2 linked regions of the Caenorhabditis elegans genome follow. The protein of the gene in region 2 purifies or fractionates together with the protein of the main gene of each other region. This does not show direct contact. Each region holds a gene or a part of one and is shown on either strand. Other genes may lie near its edges.

Evidence for each region.
Region 1: the proteins of fbxa-194 (region 2) and F16F9.4 fractionate together in Caenorhabditis elegans (co-fractionation; one large-scale study listed by BioGRID). This does not show direct contact.

What each region holds. Positions count from the first base shown.
Region 1 is NC_003284.9:8,459,214-8,465,546, reverse strand, and holds F16F9.4 (Alpha/beta hydrolase fold-3 domain-containing protein), read left to right. Parts: upstream 1-2,186; 5' UTR 2,187-2,216; coding exon 2,217-2,369; intron 2,370-2,419; coding exon 2,420-2,527; intron 2,528-2,574; coding exon 2,575-2,689; intron 2,690-3,987; coding exon 3,988-4,132; intron 4,133-4,187; coding exon 4,188-4,499; intron 4,500-4,551; coding exon 4,552-4,746; intron 4,747-5,337; coding exon 5,338-5,500; 3' UTR 5,501-5,726; downstream 5,727-6,333. Other genes in the region: F16F9.3 (EF-hand domain-containing protein), read right to left, coding at 5,823-5,962.
Region 2 is NC_003283.11:19,776,558-19,780,717, forward strand, and holds fbxa-194 (F-box domain-containing protein), read right to left. Parts: upstream 2,152-4,160; coding exon 2,102-2,151; intron 2,047-2,101; coding exon 1,837-2,046; intron 1,779-1,836; coding exon 1,695-1,778; intron 1,650-1,694; coding exon 926-1,649; intron 873-925; coding exon 690-872; downstream 1-689. Other genes in the region: fbxa-118 (F-box domain-containing protein), read right to left, coding at 1-398, 455-532, 577-617.

The sequences.
Region 1 (6,333 bases), on a different chromosome or scaffold from region 2:
TTTGGTTAGTTTTCAAGATTAAAAAAAGAACTGAGTAACTTATTCACCATTAAAGATTAACATTTTTTCAAAAAATGAATTATTTTTATTCTTGCTAATACATTTTTTATGAAATCATAAATTAAAAATGATTTCGTATTTTCAGTACCAATTAAGATTATTTGAGTATTATGATTTATTTATGGACCGGAACTTTCTCTTTTTACGGGAAACATTAATTTTGATTACACAGGTGTTAGCAATGGGTCTGACAGCAACTTTTCTTTCGATCAAAAGAAACATATGAATGAAATTTTTGCGTACGCGTAACACCAATACACGCTGCGTTTTTGGGATGGCAGTGACGCAAGTAGGAAAAGAATTGCTACAACCGGATTCTGTCCAACGCGGAGGATGAAGCCTCCCAACACATTTTGAGAACACTCAATTCCATCTGTACGGCAATACGTTTCGAATTTTTAATTCGACTTTTTTTTTAAATAAAACTTTCGACTTTTTTATACATGTGCTTACTTTGAATTATATATGTTTTATTTGAATGTTTGTAGTGTGTTCGCATTAAAAGTTTTAAAATATTATCTGAAATTGACTCATATTCTGTTTGTTGTAATCACTGTTGTTCTATTAATGAATTTGCCTAAAACATATAAAACATCCGACAGCGTCATTTTCTTTGTCTAACAAGTCTCCTTGCAACATGACACATTTGTGACGTTTTTCACTAGTTTACAATCTCTAAAAGATCATATCCAAATTTAGTTACATGGGTTTTCAATTTTAGACCTATTCTACATCACCTACCAGTTATTGATAATATCACTGACACAAAAAAGTTCGCAACAATTGCAGCAATATCTATTTGCAAAGGATACAAAAATCATATTACAAAAATTCAGTACAAATTTGGTGATTCAGTAAACTAATCCCATCTGTAGCCTGCTTCCAATTAAAAACTTTATAATCTTATCTATCCAATTCCATTATCTTTTTGTAGCTGTGATTTTTGAAGAATGTCGTTTTCCAGAATTGAAATCGGTTTTTTTTGCAAGATTTGACTGCTTTGCACTTTTTCTGAATCAGAAATTAGTAAATAATTTCTACGTGACTACCAGTTGTACTGCCATTTCTTTGAAGTGGACCAGAAGTGCAACACACTCTAAATTCCAATATGTGGCCAGATAATAAAGATAACACTGTGATCTTTCATACCTCCAGTCACTTTGCCCCCAATTTTTTTCGTCACCTTTCCTTTTTCGTGTTTCTGTTTTATTTCGCCACGTACATTCATTCTACCACCACATTTGTTCTATTTGAACTAAACTAGGATCCACTTGCCCTGTCTGTGTGGGTGGTGTCAAAAGTAGGTCAGTTATTTCCAAAGCAACATTGCCTCCGGTAGGATGAGGGTGACGATTGGGTGTTCGTCGCTGCGCTCATTTTCCGAAAGCAAAAGTCTTTCTGTGAGGTACTTGTCGGTGTTTGCCTGTAAATTAATTTGCATAGAATACAGCTGTGAAACCAATCGGATACACCGATGAGTTTCGGAGATGTCAAAGTGGAAGATTACATCGCATTTGTTCTCATTACCTACAATCGCTTCCTCTCATTTTTCCTTTCACATAAATTTTGACACCCTCCATTGGACAGAACTTCTATAAAGAATTTGGATTTTATATAATTTTTTTTTAACTTATATAATTTTTGGTCAAATTTCATTTTTCTCGGTTTTTCGACGGACCATTCCCCATATTAGTAGTATTCCCTTAATTTTTTTTAGACTTTTTTGCTAAATTCGGATATTAATAAAGATGTATATAATTTTTGCAAATTTGAACCTAACATAGAGTTGAACACAAAATATATAAAGTCAAAAATGTACAAAGTTTTTATTGACTCTATTTAAAAAAGTTTACCCGTTTGATTAAGACTATAAAATCTTAATTTATGTTTTAATATTTTATTCTTCAAGAAATAAAACACATTATGGAAAATCGATATTTAAACACAAATTTAAATGCCAAAATGTAGTTCATTATTGAGTTTACGGTGCTTACAACTGTGACTACCCACAAACTCCAAAAATGCACAAAAAGTCACATTGATTATACCTATATGTTATCAATTTTTATCTTAAACACTTTCATTATTTTATTTTTTTGTTTGACGTCCCGCTTATTGTGCATGATAAAGTATACAATTTCATTTCAGGTGTAGCTATGGAGTGGCTATACTGGCTATACTGGTTGTTAGTCCTTTTATTCTTTGGATACTCATTCTATCTCCTGCATATCCCACTTCCCCATGACATATCCGACAGGTCGAAGTTGACAATCGCTGAGTTTCTGATGCGTCTTTCTAATGAATACTTAGTAAGTTATATTTTTAAATTTTTATTTTAAAATAAACGCAACTAATTTAGGGAGATTTGATCGAAAATGTTTTTGGGCCAGAAGTTCGAAATAAAGTTACCAGATTTGTCATGGGAGTAGGGTTCCTCATCCCTACGTTGCCACCCAAAAGAATGATTGTAAGATAAAACAATTTGGTATACATGTAATCTTTTAATAATTTCAGAGAAAACGAATAAGAATCCAAGGAGTTAGCTGCATTGCTTACGAAATTGAGAAGCCACAAAATGATGGGTTGCTTATTTTTATTCACGGTGGTGGATGGTGTGTGGGAGAAGCTCGTAAGTTTTTTTTTTCTGAAAATGCTTAGCTGTTCAAAAAATTTAAATCATCAAAATTTGAATTTTTCAAACCAAGAGGCTTTAATCTGTGAATTTTATTTCAAAGCACTGGAACAAAACCGTTTCGTGAAAAAAACAAAAACTGCTGACTCAGAAGTGGGAATAAGTGTTCTTTAGAAAACAATTGTATTCATTTTGTGACATATTCTTCTCAATTTTAAAATTTGGTACTTAAAATTAGGGGTCAACTTGAGTCTATTCGAAAAATAATAAAATTAGGTATACCAGGCCGATTTGTGTAATTTCAAAAATCGGATAAGCCGATTTCCAAATAATTATTGGCAAAAACTGAAATTGTAGTATTGTTAAAATTGAATCAATTTTTGTTTACATTCAAACCTGTTATTCATTTATTTAAGGTTAAAACCGATAGAAAAAATTTCAAATAAAAATCAATATAAAAAAGTTCTTTTTCCAGACTATTTTCAGTGTTTGAGGATTATTAAAGGTGGAATAGCGCCATTGGGGAAATTGCTTTAAAACACGACTATGGTACCACAATGACCGAATATCATGATAAAAAATTCAAAAAACTTTTCTAAACTTTATATGATGTTTTGAAAATTGGAAAAATCTCAGTTTTTGCCAAATTCCGATTTGAATTTCCGACAAGAATTTGTTCGACGGAGCGCACTTGCACGTTTTTATTTTTATTTATTGTTTTTTTTTCTCATTTTCCACCGATTTTCTATGTTTTCAGAGTATTTTTGCATGAATTTTGAAGAACAATTCAAAATAAATGCAAATTTTCGGTTTAAAAGCTACTTTACAAGCGTAAATCTGTGAAATTAATTAATTAAGGTTTGAAATCGTGTAAATGCGTTTTTTAAAGATTTTTTACGCCTGTACGATTGCTTTTTAATCGAAAATTTGCATTTATTTTGAATTGTTCTTCAAAATTCATGCAAAAATACTCTGAAAACATAGAAAATCGGTGGAAAATGAGAAAAAAAAACAATAAATAAAAATAAAAACGTGCAAGTGCGCTCCGTCGAACAAATTCTTGTCGGAAATTCAAATCGGAATTTGGCAAAAACTGAGATTTTTCCAATTTTCAAAATGCCATATAAAATTTAGAAATTTTTTTTGAATTTTTTTATCATGATATTCGGTCATTGTGGTACCATATGTGTGTTTTAAAGGAATTTCCCCACTGGCGCTACCCCAACGTTAAAACTTAAATATTCAAAAATAAGAAGACTTCCGTAATCTTTCTTCAAGTCAAAAAAAAACTTTAGGTTATTATGATGGAATCATGTACCAGCTTTGCGAACAAATTGGGTGCAATGGGATATCTATTGACTACCGTCTCGCTCCAGAACACCCTTTTCCAGCCGGACTTGATGATTGCCATGCGGTGGTATCTGAAGTTTGCACAAATGGGTTTGTTCTTCAATTGCATAGTTATTTAAAAACTTTTAAGTATGTTTTATTCCAGATTGTTGGACCTCCCTTTCAACAGAAAACGAGTCTTGATTTCCGGAGATAGCGCAGGAGGGAATCTGGCTGCAGTTGTATGTCAACGATTGCATCGGGAGAAGAAGGACATCCTGAAGGGACAGATTCTCATCTATCCAGTCACGCATGTTTTCAATTTCACTAGTCCGTCATATCAAGATTATTGGAAGTCATATGCTGGAACTGCACTGCTCAATCCAAAGCATATGGCAAGATGGATTCTGTTATATCTTGGTATTGAAGCATCAAAAAATAACATCAAAAAGGTGATGAATTCTCAACATGCACTACCGTAAGAAACATCTTTTAGAGATTTTCAGTATTAAAATTGAGCATTTTTCCAGTGAACTCGCAGAGCAGAAACCATATTCTCAATGGCTTTACCATCTAAACAAAAGGAAACCAGAAAAGCTGGTTGATCAACATCTTGCCAAACAGTTCATAAAACTAGGAACTAATCCAGACGTGTCACCAGTGTTTGGCGATACTGAAGGATTACCACCAGCGTTAGTGCTCACTGCGGGATATGACGTACTGAAGTGAGTTTTTTTTACTTGCAATGGAAAAATTGTAGGAGGAAATTTTTAAAATTGTGTGTTATGGAACCGTTGATATAACTAGTGGAATGATTAACTAAAGGCATCTTTATTTAACTCTAACAATAAATGGACCAGTCGAAAACTAACTGCGTTTGAGAACACAACATTATGTCATCCCAAAATTTTTTTGAATTTGAATAAATTTATTTTGAAATGATGTTCACTCTTTGAAAATAATTTCACTTTTTGAAATCAGAAAAAAATTCTTATCCGAAAATCTTGTTAAAAATGCAAGACTACATGAATACGTTATTGCAAAAATTACTTTACAAAAACGATATTTGCATTGTTCATTGTATATAGTTTGAATGCAAAAATGTTTCATTGGTCATTTTTAAACTTCAGACCATAAAACTTGATTTATTAGAAGTTATTTAGAAACTAAATAAACATAACAAAAAATTTGGAAAAAAAAACACTTCGTTTAAACATCGAGAAAGAGAATATGAACATTTTTGCTATAAATTTTGAAGCCTAAACTCGTATTATTCCCATACCAACTTTCACATAAAAAACTATTATCATTTACAGAGACGAAGGAATCCAATATGCGAACAAACTGAAAAAATCTGGGGTTTCAACGGAGTGGCGTCATTATCCACGAGCATTCCATGGACTTTTCAACATGCCTAACAGCAAAGATCGAAATGAAATGATGAAAGCAACTGTTGATTTTGCAAAATCAGTTATCTAGATCAATGTCGTTACCATTTTTCACAATTTTATCTGGTTTTTTACATTTTAGAATATCATGTAGTCGTTTAGTTGTCCCATTTTTCATTATTTTTAACTTTCTCCCAGTCACTTTTACATGGTCGTCCAATCGGTGTTCTCAATGCGCAATCTAGTCATTTGTTACCAAATTGTTAATTTTTCCTTTTCCTGCCTTTGCTTTTCCGCTGAATAAATTTTTATTGATTTTGGGTGTGTAACAGGGTAAAAAATAATAAAATTGTTAGATGAAAAATGTGAAAATTCGAACAAAAAGTTTAAAACCCGATTAATATAAGCCTTATCTAAATATAAGATAGGAACGGGTTTTCAGGCTGGACGTTTTCTTCTTGGAATCCGTTCAAAAGTTGCATGCTCTGCTCAATTGTTGATGGTAACGGTTCAATTAGATTAGCATCTTTTTCTTCAACGATACTCCAAACCTCTGAAAAATACAATGTGAAGCACACGTTTAAGTAGTTGGAAATGAAACTGTGAGCAATCAGGGGAAAAATGTTCGCATTAAACAATTTCAAAACTTTCATTCTCACGATAAGTAAACTACTTCATTCTCACGATAAGTAAAAACTTATGATTTTAGAAAACAAAACCGAATTATGGCGTGTTTACTTTTAAGACTGCGCAGTAATAAAAAAATTAGCAATAACGTGCAAAAAAACTAACTAGGGAGTTATTCAACCATACGGTGCGATCGGGTAAAAGTAAACGTGTTATGCGATAGCTGGCATCTTAGGCTTTCAGAATCTGTAATTTGTTTCGGCGGAAGACCTCTGTGAGTCTGGAAATTTTCATCTG
Region 2 (4,160 bases):
GGGAAATGATGGGAGTGAGCTGGCTGGGACAGAAATCTCCAATTTCCAGTCTTCTGGCACAAATTTTTGAATTGGGAAACCGATTTTCAATCTTTTCCTGGAACATAGCTGCTTTAATACGAAAATGGTCGATTTCAAGCTTCGGAATCGCTAGAAAATCTTCCAGAACGCGTAGAATCTCATTTAAGGAATTCCTAGAAATTCGCATCAGCACAGGATTTTTGAAGTTATTCGTGCAATATCCTCCGAGGCCGGTGTTCCGTGTCGAGCACCAACACTCGCTGTGCAGATGAATCCAATAGGAATTGTTGTAGATCGATAGTTCAACATGCTTGAAACAGGGATCTCTGTTATCTAGGAAATTCCTCAATTTTCGGCAGACTTTTCGCAGGACAAGTCTGAAATTTTTCTTGCAATTGGTTGAAAAATGGCTGAAAAATGGCTGAAAAAATACCGATTGATCGGATCCACGTTGTCCATAATTTCATGAAGCACTCTGTTTGGCATGTCGAATAGTGAAGGAGCATCGGACCTGGAAGCTGGGAAATTTTGAACTTAAAAATCATTTAAACGAACGATTTTTTCGAATCCAACTCAATCGTCAATTTTTCTGCCATTTCTCGAGTGTTCTGGGTGAAATCCGTGGTTTTCTGAAAAATAAAGTGTTAAATTTCATTGAAAAATGCAATTCAAGTCGTACTGAACCGATCCTCATCACACACGATGACAAATTGAACGTCGTTGCTGCTGTAGAGAATGGCATTGGGCCCGGTATGCACGTATGCCGGGTCGAAGACTTTTCCGATAGCTTCGTAATCATAATCCGGAAGTTTGATGAGACCTTCTTCGAAGAGCGTCGATTTTGTGAGAATCTGAATGTGAAAATGTGATTATTGAAGAGTAGTCCGCTTTTTTTTGCACTTACATCTCGAATTTGGATAGCTTCTTTCTCTGAAAAAGTTTCCTTAGCAATTTCGAAGCGCTTCGAATGCATCACATGATCGATCTGAAGGTGAATCTCTGACACCGTATTCGTTTCGATATCTATCGCCTTCTTCCATGATTCCAGATTGACAAGTTCGTCGACTGGTTCCCGATTCTCCTCAATTTTGTATCTAGAAATGTGGATTCGTTCAACTTTTCCCGGTTTAAAGCGGGAAACCATCGATACAATTGCCGGCATGATCGTTTCACGAATAATGAGCGTTTCCACTTGAAATTGGATTTTCACACCGTTCAGAGCATCGGCGATTTTCACGGAAATCTCTCGACGGAGGCGATTCTTAATTTCAAGTAAGGGATCATCGTCATGAATTTCTTCGAATTCGAGTGGGTGACCGTTCAATGAGACAGCCAATCTCATTACTTCAAATTGACTTTTCGGATTGTCCATCAGCTGAGCCAAATCGTTCACCGCCGCTTTCACATAGCTGATTCCTTCGATTTTAGACGATTTTCCGCCCAAGACCACATTACAACTGCCATCATCTTGACTGATGTATTTAATCTTGTCACAATCTGGCCACCTGGGCCTGTCAATTTGAATCGATGCGAATGTCGGACGAACGGTTAGCGAAACTTCCTTGTAGCCATGTTCTCTGGCTTTTGTGATACTTCTCAGGTTTTGAGACACTTTTCGAAGAACTAATCTGAAAAGACTGTGATTTTCAGCAGATTTTCAGCTTTAAACTAACCTATCAATTGGCTTAACATTATCCAAAACTGTATCAACAATATTAAGCGGCATATCGGTAAGTGTCTTACTCTTCGGATTCCAACTGAAATTTAAATTTAATTATAATTTTATAAAATCCTGTAATTTCACAACTGATTTACCAAATATCCTCATTCAAATCTTCACATTCGACTCCAATTTGATGGTACCAATAATCGAATTCCCGATATTCTATCACATCATTTCCAATTGCTTCACAGAAATTTCCGAATGCTTTCAGAGTTGGGGTTCCTTGTAGAAATTCGTAGAGAATGCACAATTTGATCGCTTTTGTGTCATTTCGAATAAGATCCGATTTAGTTAATGGAGCTCTGGAAGGAAAATTTGAAATTTTTGAAAAAAAAACATGTTTTTTGAAGCTTTCACCGGTGAGCGGTGAGTAAAACTATCATTTTGATCGAATCCAACTCCTCCATTTTCCGAGTTATTTGGTTGTACTATTCTGAAAAACAAGCAAATTAAATTGTTGAATTTGACTGAAAAGTATACTAAAAAATACAAGAAGACGGTAGAAGAAGACAAACCAAACAAATCGCCGAAAACTTGCTTATACTACAAACTACAAACACTTTTGTGGCATTAAAAACTTATTTTTCCAATAATTTCAACAAAAAAACAAGTAATTTCGTGAATTTTCAATAAAAAAGAGATAAAAACTGAAATTCGAATTAATGTTTGCTCATCAATTAATCGTGTATTGCGTACATCGCCGTCTACCGTAGTACGAAAAAAAATCTGCATTTTTCAATCAATTTTTTCAGTAAAAATGTTAAATAAAAAAGGTATTTAATCGAACAATTCATCATAAAACTTATTAATACAATAATTTCAACAACGAGTGCTCATTTTCATATTAGAAAAAACAATAACGAAGGAAATTTAACAGGAGTTTTCAAAGCTTTGTGATTTTGACGTATCCGCCATACGTGATCATAATTTTGAATTGATTAATTCTGTATTCAACGTAACGATTAATATTTAATACCAGCCGCTGACCGCGCCTCTGGCGCGGACATCGACTGGCGCAGTTTCAACATCTTTATAACTCAAATCAACAAACCCCAGTACCCCGACTATATACTTCTAATTTTTTTTCCGGTTCTGGAACATTCCAGAATTTTCTCGAATTTTCCAGAAGGTTCTGTAACATTCCAGAAATTTCCGGAAATTTCCAGAAGGTTCTGGAACATTTTATAATTTTCCCGAAGTTTCCAAGATCACTTCAAAAGACGAAAAACCAATTTTTCCCAAACTACAGTAATCCTACAGTAGCCCTACAGTACCCCTACAGTACTACTACACTACCCCGACCATGTCCCGCCACTAACCTCAAACCAATATTCCTTCAACAGCCTGAAACACTTTGCAAGTGTGACGTCATAGACTACAAACTACAATTGTAACATCCTCCATGTATTTTTTTATATATATAAGTAATGATTTTCTTAACGATGAATGTTTTCGTATAGTCGAAATTAAAACTGATTTTCAGTAAACTTTGGTGTTTAACTTGAAGGTTTAAAAGTCCAAACCATTTATTTTTGAAAATCAAAAAAAAAACAATGTTTTGTAACACGGAAGCATTTCTGATAAATTATGTGATCATCATCACCAGAATTGTACCTTATTTTTGCTCTCCAGAACAAGGAACGGAACGCCTCCAATTATGAATGTAATATGAAGAAATCAAAACAGATACAATTTTCTCACCGTTTGCAAGAATTGTTGTTATTGCCCGCCGGCTATAATTCATTATTACACAACACGGAAATAATAATCAAATGCAGTATAAATTGATTTCTTCCAGGTGGGAAAAATTTAGATTCCGCAATGAATCGTCTGTTGGAATATGGTAGTGTTGAAGCTATACCCTATTACAACTGCTCCCATAAAAATTTCACGGAATGGGAGAAGACTGGACAGAAACGACCGTATTTTGGATGGCCATTGGTCGTTTTTGGGGTCCTCGTGGAGTTGTTGTACATTCCTGTTATCTATATTATATTTAAAACCAAACTTATCAGACATCCGTGCTATAAAATAATTGTTCTATTGGCTCTAATTGATATGAGTGCAACTTGCTGCAGTTGTCTTTTTACCGGGTCTATGCTGATTATGGGAACCGTGTTCTGCATGTATCCAACGTTTACTTATGTGGCTGGAGGAATTGCATTAAGTGAGTCTTTTAGATTAAGTGAACATTTTAAATCTCTTCTATTTTCGAACTGTCAACGTCTCCTGGATCGGTATTATGCAAATTTTATTCTAATGAAAAAAAAAATCATCAGAATAAATTTTACCGAATATATATTCTAGTAGCTTATAAATTTTTCAGATACCTGGTGCATGGCGTGTGCAGCTACCATGTCCCTATTTTCCAATCGGATAATAAGTATTGGCTTCAGGAAGTATGCAGATGTAATCG